Linked DNA regions of Ovis aries. The protein of the gene in region 3 interacts with the protein of the main gene of each other region in a pairwise test. Links are inferred from orthologs where the notes say so. Each region holds a gene or a part of one and is shown on either strand. Other genes may lie near its edges.

Evidence for each region.
Region 1: the proteins of PRKAA2 (region 3) and CCNB1IP1 interact in binary tests that used the Homo sapiens proteins (3 or more experiments, as listed by UniProt). The two-hybrid records come from large-scale screens. The link is inferred for Ovis aries from reciprocal best matches to the Homo sapiens genes PRKAA2 and CCNB1IP1.
Region 2: the proteins of PRKAA2 (region 3) and KIFC3 interact in binary tests that used the Homo sapiens proteins (3 or more experiments, as listed by UniProt). The two-hybrid records come from large-scale screens. The link is inferred for Ovis aries from reciprocal best matches to the Homo sapiens genes PRKAA2 and KIFC3.

What each region holds. Positions count from the first base shown.
Region 1 is NC_056060.1:25,047,198-25,050,945, reverse strand, and holds the start of CCNB1IP1 (E3 ubiquitin-protein ligase CCNB1IP1), read right to left. Parts: upstream 2,826-3,748; 5' UTR 2,462-2,825; intron 1-2,461. UniProt on the Homo sapiens protein: Ubiquitin E3 ligase that acts as a limiting factor for crossing-over during meiosis: required during zygonema to limit the colocalization of RNF212 with MutS-gamma-associated recombination sites and thereby establish early differentiation of crossover and non-crossover sites.
Region 2 is NC_056067.1:25,319,849-25,323,496, forward strand, and holds part of KIFC3 (kinesin-like protein KIFC3), read right to left. Parts: intron 3,354-3,648; coding exon 3,180-3,353; intron 2,700-3,179; coding exon 2,552-2,699; intron 2,467-2,551; coding exon 2,336-2,466; intron 1,184-2,335; coding exon 1,072-1,183; intron 1-1,071. UniProt on the Homo sapiens protein: Minus-end microtubule-dependent motor protein. Involved in apically targeted transport. Required for zonula adherens maintenance.
Region 3 is NC_056054.1:31,181,884-31,185,631, forward strand, and holds the start of PRKAA2 (5'-AMP-activated protein kinase catalytic subunit alpha-2), read left to right. Parts: upstream 1-827; 5' UTR 828-869; coding exon 870-963; intron 964-3,748. UniProt on the Homo sapiens protein: Catalytic subunit of AMP-activated protein kinase (AMPK), an energy sensor protein kinase that plays a key role in regulating cellular energy metabolism.

The DNA.
Region 1 (3,748 bases), on a different chromosome or scaffold from region 3:
GGTGGAGCAAAATAAAAATGAAATTAAAAAATACAGTACCTGAGGGCTTTGGCTCAAAACAGCAGTAAGGAATAACTTCATATTTTATCTATTTCATAATAACTCTGCCTTAAAATTTATAAAGCACTGTCCTTAGAGTAAATCATTTCACAAGTACTATGTTATCTTTTCCATTTTATAGGTATACAGTTCAGTTCAGTTCAGTTGCTCAGTCATGTCCAACTCTTTGTGACCCCATGAATTGCAGCACGCCAGGCCTCCCTGTCCATCACCAACTCCTGGAGTTCACTCAGACTCATGTCCATTGAGTCGGTGATACCACCCAGCCATCTCATCCTCTGTCATCCCCTTCTCCTCCTTCCCTCAATCCCTCCCAGCATCAGAGTCTTTTCCAATGAGTCAACTCTTCACATGAGGTGGCCAAACTACTGGAGTTTCAGCTTTAGCATCATTCCTTTCAAAGAACACCAAGGACTGATCTCCTTTAGGATGGACTGGTTGGATCTCCTTGCAATCCAAGGGACTCTCAGAAAGTCTTCTCCAACACCACAGGTCAAAAGCATTAATTCTCTGACGCTCAGCTTTCTTCACAGTCCAACTCTCACATCCATACATGACTACTGGAAAAACCATATCCTTGACTAGACAGAACTTTGTTGGCAAAGTAATATCTCTGCTTTTGAATATGCTATCTAGGTTGGTCATACTTTCCTTTCAAGGAGTAAGCGTTTTTTAATTTCATGGCTGCAATCACCATCTGCAGTGATTTTGGAGCCCAAAAAAATAAAGTCTGACACTGTTTCCACTGTTTCCCCATCTATTTCCCATGAAGTGATGGGACCAGATGCCATGATCTTCGTTTCCTGAATGTTGAGCTTTAAGCCAACTTTTTCACTCTCTTCTTTCACTTTCATCAAGAGGATTTTTAGTTCCTCTTCACTTTCTGCCATAAGGGTGGTGTCATCTGCATATCTGAGGTTATTGATATTTCTCCCGGCAATCTTGATTCTAGCTTGTGCTTCTGCCAGCCCAGCCTTTCTCATGATGTACTCTGCCTATAAGTTAAATAAGCAGGGTGACAATATACAGCCTTGACGTACTCCTTTTCCTATTTGGAACCAGTCTGTTGTTCCATGTCCAGTCCTAACTGTTGCTTCCTGACCTGCATATAGGTTTCTCAAGAGGCAGATCAGGTGGTCTGGTATTCCCATCTCTTTCAGAATTTTCCATTGTTTATTATGATCCAAGCAAGGTTTAAATAAGTGGCAGGCAACTTAGCTTAATGGTTAAGATAATGAAGTTGGACAGAGCTAGATTTGACTCCTAGCTCCATTGTTGTGACCTGGGGCAAGTTATGCAGCTTTTCTAAGCCTCAGATTTCCTTTCCTTTCCTTAACTCTGTTAAGATTAAATTATGTAAAATAGATATAAAATAAGATAAAGCATATCTCCATAGAAAACTAATTTTTCTCCCACTCAACGAAACCTCTAACTGAAAAACTAGTTGTTTCACAAGACATGATCTGGGACTTTTAAGACTTTTTAAAATAAATAGCTTTGGAGGAATTCAGTCTTCCTCTTTTATTTTGCATGTTTACAGTCCCCAGTACATTTCCATTTTTCCTAACAATGTAAAATACAAGTTTACTTGCTCAACACCCTCTACCTGTAAAGATAACTCATATATTAATGTATAATACTCAAGGTCACTGGGCAAAACTTTTTAGGAGAAAAATAATACACAAAATATATTTACTGCTTATTTCTAGAAGGTATGTAACATTTATTATACATCCACCAGTGCTTGGACTTCATATACTTTGATCTTCAAAAGCTAAGCCTCAGAATCGTTCACTGACTCACCTAAGATCACTGGAGGAGTAAACTGTGGTGATGGAATTTCATTTAGGCTTGCACTAAGCTCAGGCCCTCATCTTTTTCAGTACATCCTAAGCTTTTGAGGGTATCATCACCACAGTGCTGACATTAAAATTGGGAGCTCCTCCTGAAGCTTGTTAAAACCATGTGACTTCAGAGTTTGTAGTGTCTTTCCCAACAAGAAAGATGAACTGCTCTGAGCAAAGTGAAGTGAAGTGAAATGAAGTCGCTCAGTCATGTTCGACTCTTTGCAACCCTGTGGACTGTAGCCTACCAGGCTCCTCCATCCATGGGATTCTCCAGGCAAGAATAGTGGAGTGGATTGCCATTTCCTTCTCCAGGGGATCTTCCCGACCCAGGGATCGAACCCAGGTCTCCCGCATTGGAGGCAGACGCTTTAAACTCTGACCAGGGAAGCAGACCGGGGCAAAAACAACATCCAATGCAGCTCCCACACGCCCAGTAAAAACCTGAGCCCTGCAGACCCAGGAGAATTAAAGCTGACTGGTCTAAACTTCTCTTCCAAGATCTACCCTCTCGCTAAAAGACACAAGTCAAAACAGCATTGAGAAAATAACAGTACCTTTTCTTCCAAGCAAAATGAATCCAGGTATTTTGCAGAAACACTAAGCACATGAAGCAGAGTCTATTGTTCCCAGGTCACCCTGTCTCAGAAAAGGAAGGCAGACTGGGTCCTGCAGAGGCCCACGTGGAAAGAAGCCAGGCAGATCATTTCACTGCCTTCCTCCAATTTCCACACAGCCGAAATTAATCTCTTAGTAGCTCACAAACACTCCAAGGCTAGCTGGAAATTAAGGCTGTCACAAGGATACAGTGGCTCAAACTGACGAGAAATTCAAAACAATTAGGAATCAAGATTAAATGCACACTCACCAGCCCACCACCAAAATGAAAAGAGAGAAAGTGGAGAGACGGGAAGTGACTTTGAGAAGTGACCTCAGGGCCTGATTGGCTAATGATGATTCCCTCCCTCCTTTACCTTAAAAGGCTGGAAAGATGCAACCTGCCCCACCCCCACACCCTTCAGGTACCTGTCTCTTTAAGGACCAAAGATGCTACTTGCACTGTTCTTAAACTTTTTAAACCAAGCTTCCTTTTGAGTTAATATACTTAGCACGGACTAATTCAAGGTATTTACACACATTCTAGTTTAGATGGACTACTTCAATTTTCATTCTTTTGGGTTAGTATTCTAGATCTACTCAAGTTAGAACTTACCATCAGGGAAATATTCAAGTTAACAAGCTTAGTAAGAAAGATACCGGAAAAAGACAGTCACCTGCAATCCAAGAAGAAAGGCCTTAGGGAAACCAATGCTGCCATCACCTTTATCTTGGGCTTCTAGCCTTCAAAATTTTGAGGAAATAAATTTTTCTTGTTTGAGGAATCCAGTCTGTAGTTTTTAGTGATGGTAGCCCTAGCAAACCAATACACTGCGACTTTGAATAAATTACTCTTATTTTTCTAGAGTTCAATTTTCTCAACTGTAAAATACAGCCAATAATACCTACCTAACAACAGGGTTGTTGTGAGAATTAAATATGTGTAAAGCTCATAGCACTGTTGATGTTGTTTGGTCGCTAACTAGTGTCTCTTTTGCGACCCCACACGGCCCCCCCCCCCCCCCCCCCCCCCGCCCCGCCATGGACTGTAGCCTACCAGGCTCCTCTTGGCTTTCTGCCATTAGAGTGGTATCTTCTGCATATCTGAGGTTGTTGGTATTTCTCCCAGCAATCTTGATTCCAGGTTGTGAATCATCCAGCCCGACATTTCCTATGATGTACTCTGCATATAAGTTAAATAAGCAAGGTGACAATATAAAGTCCTGAAGTACTACTTTCCAATGGGT
Region 2 (3,648 bases), on a different chromosome or scaffold from region 3:
GACAGCCTCACCTTGGGGACATAGAGGAAAGGTCAGTTTTCAGAGTTGAGACTTTGCACCTTGCACCCAGTTTGAGTGGGATACCCAAATGGACACCTCATCACACAACTAGACTTCAGTTTCCTCATACACACAGTGAGGGGCTTGGGGCCCACTAAGCCAAGGAGCTTGCTCTCTCATTCTAGAAGGGCACTGTGAATGCCAGGACAGAGTTTGGGAATCAGATGGGCTGACGGGACCAGGCAGAAGGTGGGCACAGGCAACAAGGCAGCCCAGGGGTTGACTGGGGCACAGATTCGATCACACCACCCGCCTTGCTTCAAGCCCTTAGAGGGGATCCCAGAGGCTTGAATGAAGAGAAAGCTCCCCATCACATCTAGCACGGCCCCACCTCCCTTCACCTGGCCACTCCAGCTCACAGTCCAGGTCTCAGCCCTGGTTCCACCTCCTTCAAGAAGCCCCCTCAGCACCCTCAACTGTCAGATATTTAGGAGCTCAGAGAACCCCTCCCCAGCCCAGGTAAAGGGGCACTGATGCAGTTCTCAGGGTGATTAATGATCACCATCTGCTCCCCCCCCCCACCGCCACTGAAGGGAGCACCATAAGGGCAAGGACGGGTTCTGTGGGGTCCACAGACATATCCCCAGTGTCTGGAAGAGCATGTGGCACAGGGCAGGTGCTCTCTGGACTGCTGGGCAGTGAACAGGTGCTCTCTCAAGCTTGAACCAAGCCCTACATCAGAATGACATTCTAGCCACCCACCGCCCAGTACTTCAATGCCCTGCTCCTCCAACACCTGGTGGGCTACCACAGGCACTAGGAAAGGCTTCAGAGTTGGACGGATCCAAGGTGGACCGTCTGTTTACTCGCCATGCAGTTCTGAGCAAATTCCCTGTGACATTTCTGTGCCTCTGTACCCCTATTTACAAAGAGGGGGTCACAACAGTGCCTCAAAATGACAGGGCACAGCTCCAAGGACTGGCACTGGAGGCCAAAGGGAAGGGCAGGAGCACCCCCGAGGCAGGTCAGGGCCCCCTCTGCTGGGCACCCCCCAACCCAGCCGGCAGTCACCTTTCAGCCGCACAAGCTCATTGTGGCACTTTTTACGCAGCTGCAGCTCCCGGCGGTACTTGCGCAGCAGCTCCTGGTTGTTGCTGTTGACCTCCTCGATGGCCTGGCCAATCTGGTGGGGGAAGGGCAGCGCCATCAGGTGGGCAGTTCCACCCACCTCACATGCCCAGCTGCCGCCCCCCACCCCCCACTGACAGCCTGCTCATCGCTGCCTGCCCTGGACTGGGCACCTGAGCTGAGCTGTCACACGTCAGATTTTCCCAGTAACCCTCTGGGTAGGTACTGCGACCAGACCCATTTTACAGAGCAAGAAACTGAGCCCCAAAGAAGCTAAGCCAATCTCAAGGTTGCCCTGCTGATGAGCAAAGAGCTGGGACTCAGCCCTCACTCCACAGGATTCAGTTGGACCCAAATCTCAGCTCTACTCTGAGGAGCTGGGAGACCAGAAGCAATTGGCTCAATGTCTTCAAGCCTCAATTTCCTCATCTGTAAAATGGGAATTCATAGGAGCTGGTGATAAAGCTTTCAAGTTCCATTCACAGGGAAAAGAAACAAGATGCAGGCCACACTCACACCTGTTCCCCTTTGCTGGGAGAAAGGGAAGTGTGTGTACATGCACACGCGTGTCAACAGTTTCCAGTATGCTCGGATGCCCTTCAGAGGACATGCTGGGAGAGGTTTCTTTTGGGGAGCAGGCTGGGTGGCAGAGAGAGGCCTTTCCTTTTCATCCGACGCCTATCTGTGAAGTGTGTACTTGCAACATGTCCATGTATTATTGACATGATTTTTTTTATTAAAGGAGAAGAACTATTTTCGATTCCCCAAATATATGTCTGTCCTGCAGAGCTGTCACACAGACTCAAGGAGCTGATGGCTATAAAAGGCTCGGCATGTAGGAAGCACTTTAGACACGTTGGTTATTCTCATACTGCACAAGTACAGCTTGAAAAAATTAAATTAAACCTAACAGATGTAAAGATATGTGTAGCATGTTTGAAATATAAAGATATGCGTAGCCCATATGGGATATAAAGATATATGTGACGTGTTTGCTTTACAGACTCATAACAAGACAAATATCCAAATACCTACCCCTAAATCAAACTGGTTTTCCAATGGTCTGAGGACAGCCATGTGTGTGGTAGGGAAGGGAGCTGCCGTCTGGGGGTTTGTCTGAGTTTGGGAAGGGCGTGGTGGGGGATGCTGTGTCCACCCAGGGGCTCCAGAGCCTCTCCTAGCCCCACCACCCAGGGCCTGCACTCACCTCGGCCTTGACGCTCTTGAGGGCCTCCTGCAGCAGCAGCGGGAAGCCGCGCACCTGACGCTTGAGCCCATTGTAGTCATTGGTCAGGGTCCGCAGCGCTGGCTGCAGCGTCAGCAGGTTGGTCCGGACGCCTGTGGGGACACAAAGGGGTGACAGGCGGATGGGGTGAAGGGCCATGGTGCAGGGAGCAGGCTAGGGCTCAGCCGGCCGGCTTACCTGCCAGGTTCTCGTGTACTGCCTTCATCTCCACCTGGGCTCTGGCGAAGGCCTCCTCGATGGCCCGGTTCTTGTCCTCCTCCAGGGACTGCATCTCTTCCAGCATCTGCCCGTGGGCCCTCTCTAGCTCCGACTCGTACATGGCAATCTGAAGCCAGGGTCAGGAGCTCAGTGGAATGCCCCATGGGAAGGCAAGATGCCCCACCCCTCACACACACACATATGCACAAGCAAGAGATAGGATGGCCATCTCTCTCCCCGAAAGGGCCGCCAGCTCCGTGCAGCTACTTCCCAGCATCAACCCAGCACCATCCAGGGTCCCACAGGCCCTGGGAAGCAAGGGAGAGGATTTCTTGTCAGTTATTATACAGACCAGGGTACCCTTCCAAGAGCGTGTGTGCCAGGCCCTGAGTCAATCTTGCAATGAGGTCAAGCCCCACCGGGAGCTGGGTTCTGCGATCAGACCATTTTACATATGAGCAGAAACTTGCCCTTGGTCACAACGGCCAGCAGGGAGAGGGGGACTGGAACACGTGTCTGTGGGACCCCAAGTGCTCAGCCTCTGCACTGTGCCACAGGGCGACCCCAGCGTCATGCCACCCCAACAGCCACGCGATGACCCACGCACCTGCGCCCGGAGCTGTGCGGTCAGCTGGTGCGAGCTCTGCAGCTGCTGCTCCATCTCCTTCAGCACCTGCCTCTGCATGGCCACCTGCTCCTGCAGGTGCTGGTTCCGGGCCTGTGACTCACTGAGGGCTTGCTTGGTCTTGGACGACTCTACCTCCACTGTCTTGATGACATACTGTGAGCGGGGGCAGATGGGCGGGCACACAGAGGTGTGTGAGTGCCTTGCCCTCACCCCGGGACCCTGAGGGGACCCTCAGGAGCATCCCACTAACAGCCCGCAGAAAAAAACTAGAGGAGCCCTGAGGTCTTGGCTTTCCAGAATGGTGCAAAGGCCTCCTGGAATCTTCTCATTTTCACGAGCCCAAGAGGAGCCTGGCTGTGGCCCAAGACTGGGCACAGAACAGACAAGGAGGGCAAAGATGAGAGCAGAACGTAGTGAAGCATCGCATCCATGCCTGGCCCACAGCAGG
Region 3 (3,748 bases):
CCCTTGTCTCCTAGGCGGATTCTTTACCACTGAGCCTCCTAGAAAGCCCATATATTTATATGTCTAAAATACAGTTGAGCAAATATTGGGACTGATTGGTGAACTTTGTGCAAATTAGTTAGAACGGAGAGCTCTAGAGAGGGTATCTCCTCCATAACTGAGAATTAGACAGAACGTAGAGGAGAATCAGTGAAGCCAGCAGAGTTGGCTTTTTTTGTTTGTGCCCTGGTGACCTGTATGAAAACAGTGCGTGACTCCAAAAGCTTCCTTGTGACTCTCCTCCGACTGACCTTCGATCAAGGCCCTTCCCCACTGCCGCCAGCCCTGACTTCCCTCGGACCCACACACTGCTTTTCACGCCCCTCTCTCCCCACACTTCAGGCCTGTTTCTCTTCCCCAGGTTCTATTAATACTTCCATTGCTTTCCACTCGCCAAGATTCGGCCCAAATCTCACCCTCTCATTCGCACCGTCAGGTTCTGCTAGAGGGCCCCTTAACCCGGCTCCCACCCCAGGGCCCCTCCTCCAGGTAGCGAGGCGACATCCTTCCCCCTCCCCGCTCCGCGCACACCTGTCGGCCTCCGACCTCCCCCGCACCGAGCGCCCACGCTCCCTCCACTGCGCCCCCAGGGCCCTGGCCCCGGGCCCACGCCGGCCTCACGCCCGCCCAGGGGCCTCGGCGCGCCCCCGCCCCTGCCCCCCACCTGCTCGCGTCCCCCCTCCCCCCGCCCCGCCCCGCCCCGCCCCGTCTCGCCTGGTCCCCAAGTCTCGGGCCCCCGCCCCCCGCGGGCCCGCTGCACTGTGGGTAGGCGGCGGCGGTGGCCGCGCAGAGGATCCCGCGGCGGCGGAGCGAGGCTGCGCGCGCCGAACATGGCTGAGAAGCAGAAGCACGACGGGCGGGTGAAGATCGGCCACTACGTGCTGGGCGACACGCTGGGCGTCGGCACCTTCGGCAAAGTGAAGAGTTGAGTACGCCGCGCCTCGCGGGAGGCCGAGCCCCGGAGTCCGGGTGTGCCGGGCCGCGAGCGGGCAGCGGGTGGCGGGGCCTGGCGGCAGGTGGAGCGGCCGCGCCCGGGCCGCGCGGAACCTGGGGACCGAGGGAAGGCAGTGGGTACCGCTTCGCCCCGCGGCAACGGCGGCGTCCCGGCGAGGGGGCTCGGGCGGGGGCGTCGCGAGGTCCTGGGACTGGCGTCCAGCACGCTTCTACTGCCCGACCTTAGTGCCCCCCTCTGAAACCCGGAGATTGGGTTGTTGGGCGAGATGCCTTTCAGCTGGGAGGCTGCAAGGACCCTGAGGAATGACCCACGGTCCTGATGGTGGAGTTCCCATTTCGTGCCAGGTGTCCCGTTAGGTGCTTCACGTGTGATCTCCTGTAATCCTTACAGCAGCTGCAGGTGTTATCTTCGCCTGTAACGTGAGAAAACGGGGACCCCCTAGCAGGGACGTGTTCAAGGTCACACTGAAATTGGCAGAACTGGGATAAAGGTCTAAAATGTCCTCCAATTTTGGCCAGGCTGGGAAGTCCTGCTGTCTGGATTCTTTCGTGCTCCCTGACTCTGGATTAGTAGGGCTGGTAGTTTACGGGGGATCCCCGGGGCGCGAGGTGGGTGGGTCTTTCTGCTGGCCTTGGGAAACGCTGGGATGTACCTGGGTTGGGTCAGGGCTTAGAACTGGGAGGTCTGAAGGTTGCTTGTGTGTGTAAAATGGTTCTAGGAAGGCTTCCAGGATGGAGGGAAAGGAAAAAGGGACTTTGGAGTTGGATCTTGAGGATGTAGGGCTGAGGCCAGAATTGCTAAGACGTACTCTGCTGAGCTCTGTGTTCCTAAGTGATGGGATCCCATTTTGGGTGTAGAAAAACAGGCTGCTTTGATTTTTTTTTTTTTTTTTTTTTACTGGTTACTAGTTAAGTATTGAACTTTCCTGTTTTTCTTAAGAGTCATGTGAGATTAATTAACTTGTCCTCTCTCCAGAACTAGAACCAACTTATTAAAAATACTTCTTTTGGTTGTTGCTTTTTTCTTTTTTCATTTTGCTGAGAAAATGTTGGGTAGGCAGCTTGAGGATTTTATTGAGGCCTCTATTTCCTTAAAAAATCATAATGAAAAAATTTTAAGTTTTAAAAATTATAGTAAATTACAATTTTGTGTTAGTTTCTTCTCTATGACATTGTGAATCAGCTGTAAGTATACATGTATTCCCTCCTTCTTGAGCCTCCCTCCCACTCTGCTAGGTCATCACAGAACGCTCAGCCGTTCTCTGTGCCATACCTTAGCTTCCCACTAGCTAGCTGTTTTACACATGGTAGTGTAGAGATCAATACTACTCTTCCACTTCGTCCAAAAATCCTATTTTAACCTTGAATCCAGGCTGTAAGTGGATAGAAGAGACTCGTTCATTCATATGGTAGGGATCAGCTTTTATTTACTTGCACACATCTGATACCCTTTCTTTTGTTCAGTAAACACTTACTGAGTGCCTACAGTGTGCCAGGCACTGTTCTAGGTAATGGGGACACCCTAGGAACAAAATCATTAAAATCTTTCCTTTTGTGGTGCTTATATTCAAGTAGGGGAAGACAGTAATCACTGTATATATTTGTGTGTGTGTGTGTGTGTGTGTGTGTGTAGTATTTTTAGTGCTGTGAAGACAAGTGAATCGGAGTTTTGTGCAGTTCACAGTTTTCAGTAAGATTGTCAGGCATGGCCTTACAGATAGGGTGTATGTTTATATAAAGACCTCAGGTTTGTAAAATTCTTTCAAGTCCTGTGAGGGCTGTGAAGTCCTTCCTGGCTTAGGTTTGCAAGACCTCATAAAGTGGTAAGTGGAGAGAATATATTTAGAGTGAATATATGAAGATTCAGGAACTGGATTAATGCTGTGACATTACTAAGGACTATTGTGTTTTGATGTTACGCACTCAAGTCTTCACCATCTAGGCATGTACACTTTCCAAGTTATATAATGTATACTGTTCCTTTTCAAATTGCATTAAAAATTGTTGTTTTTAAAAAAATTATTGTGTAACCTGAATATTGGCTAAAATACCCATCAGATAGATCATTTGGTCCATTGTCACAGGACAACTTAAATCTCTTTTTGTATATATCCTTGAACTGACCTAAAATATAAACCAACAGAAGGTACTTGGATTTATGAGAAATCCTTTTCCTGGAAGACTCCTTCCCAGTGAGCAGCTAACTGGGGAGATTTCCTAACACTGTATGAACACCTCTCCAAAGTTAGTGCTCTCCCATCCAAAGTTAGGATTAGTACAGTTGCTTAATAAAAATTATATAAGTGCAGCAGTCTAAAGTTACTCATTTACAGTGGACCCTTGAACACCATGAGTCTGAACTGCAGAGATCTACTTTTACAACAGATAATTTTTTTCCTCTAAATAAATACTACAGTATTATACAGTCAAGGTTGGTTGAATCCTAAAATGTGAAACCATGAATACTGCGGGAGGAATATAAGGTTATACACAAGTTTTCAACTTCCTGGGGTCCAGTGCCTCTAACTCCAGTGTTGTTCAAGGGTCCACTGTAATTCTTTAAGGGACTACAAACAAAAGCACGCTTATTTTTAAACACAACTTTTTTTCAAGCATATTTAAGATATCCTAAAAGTCACCCATCCTAAATGTATTATGTGTAGGACAAGTCAGTGATTTTTAGTGACTTTACTGAATGGTGCAACCATTTTGTAGGTCAATTTATAACATTTTCATCACCATAATAAAATTCCTC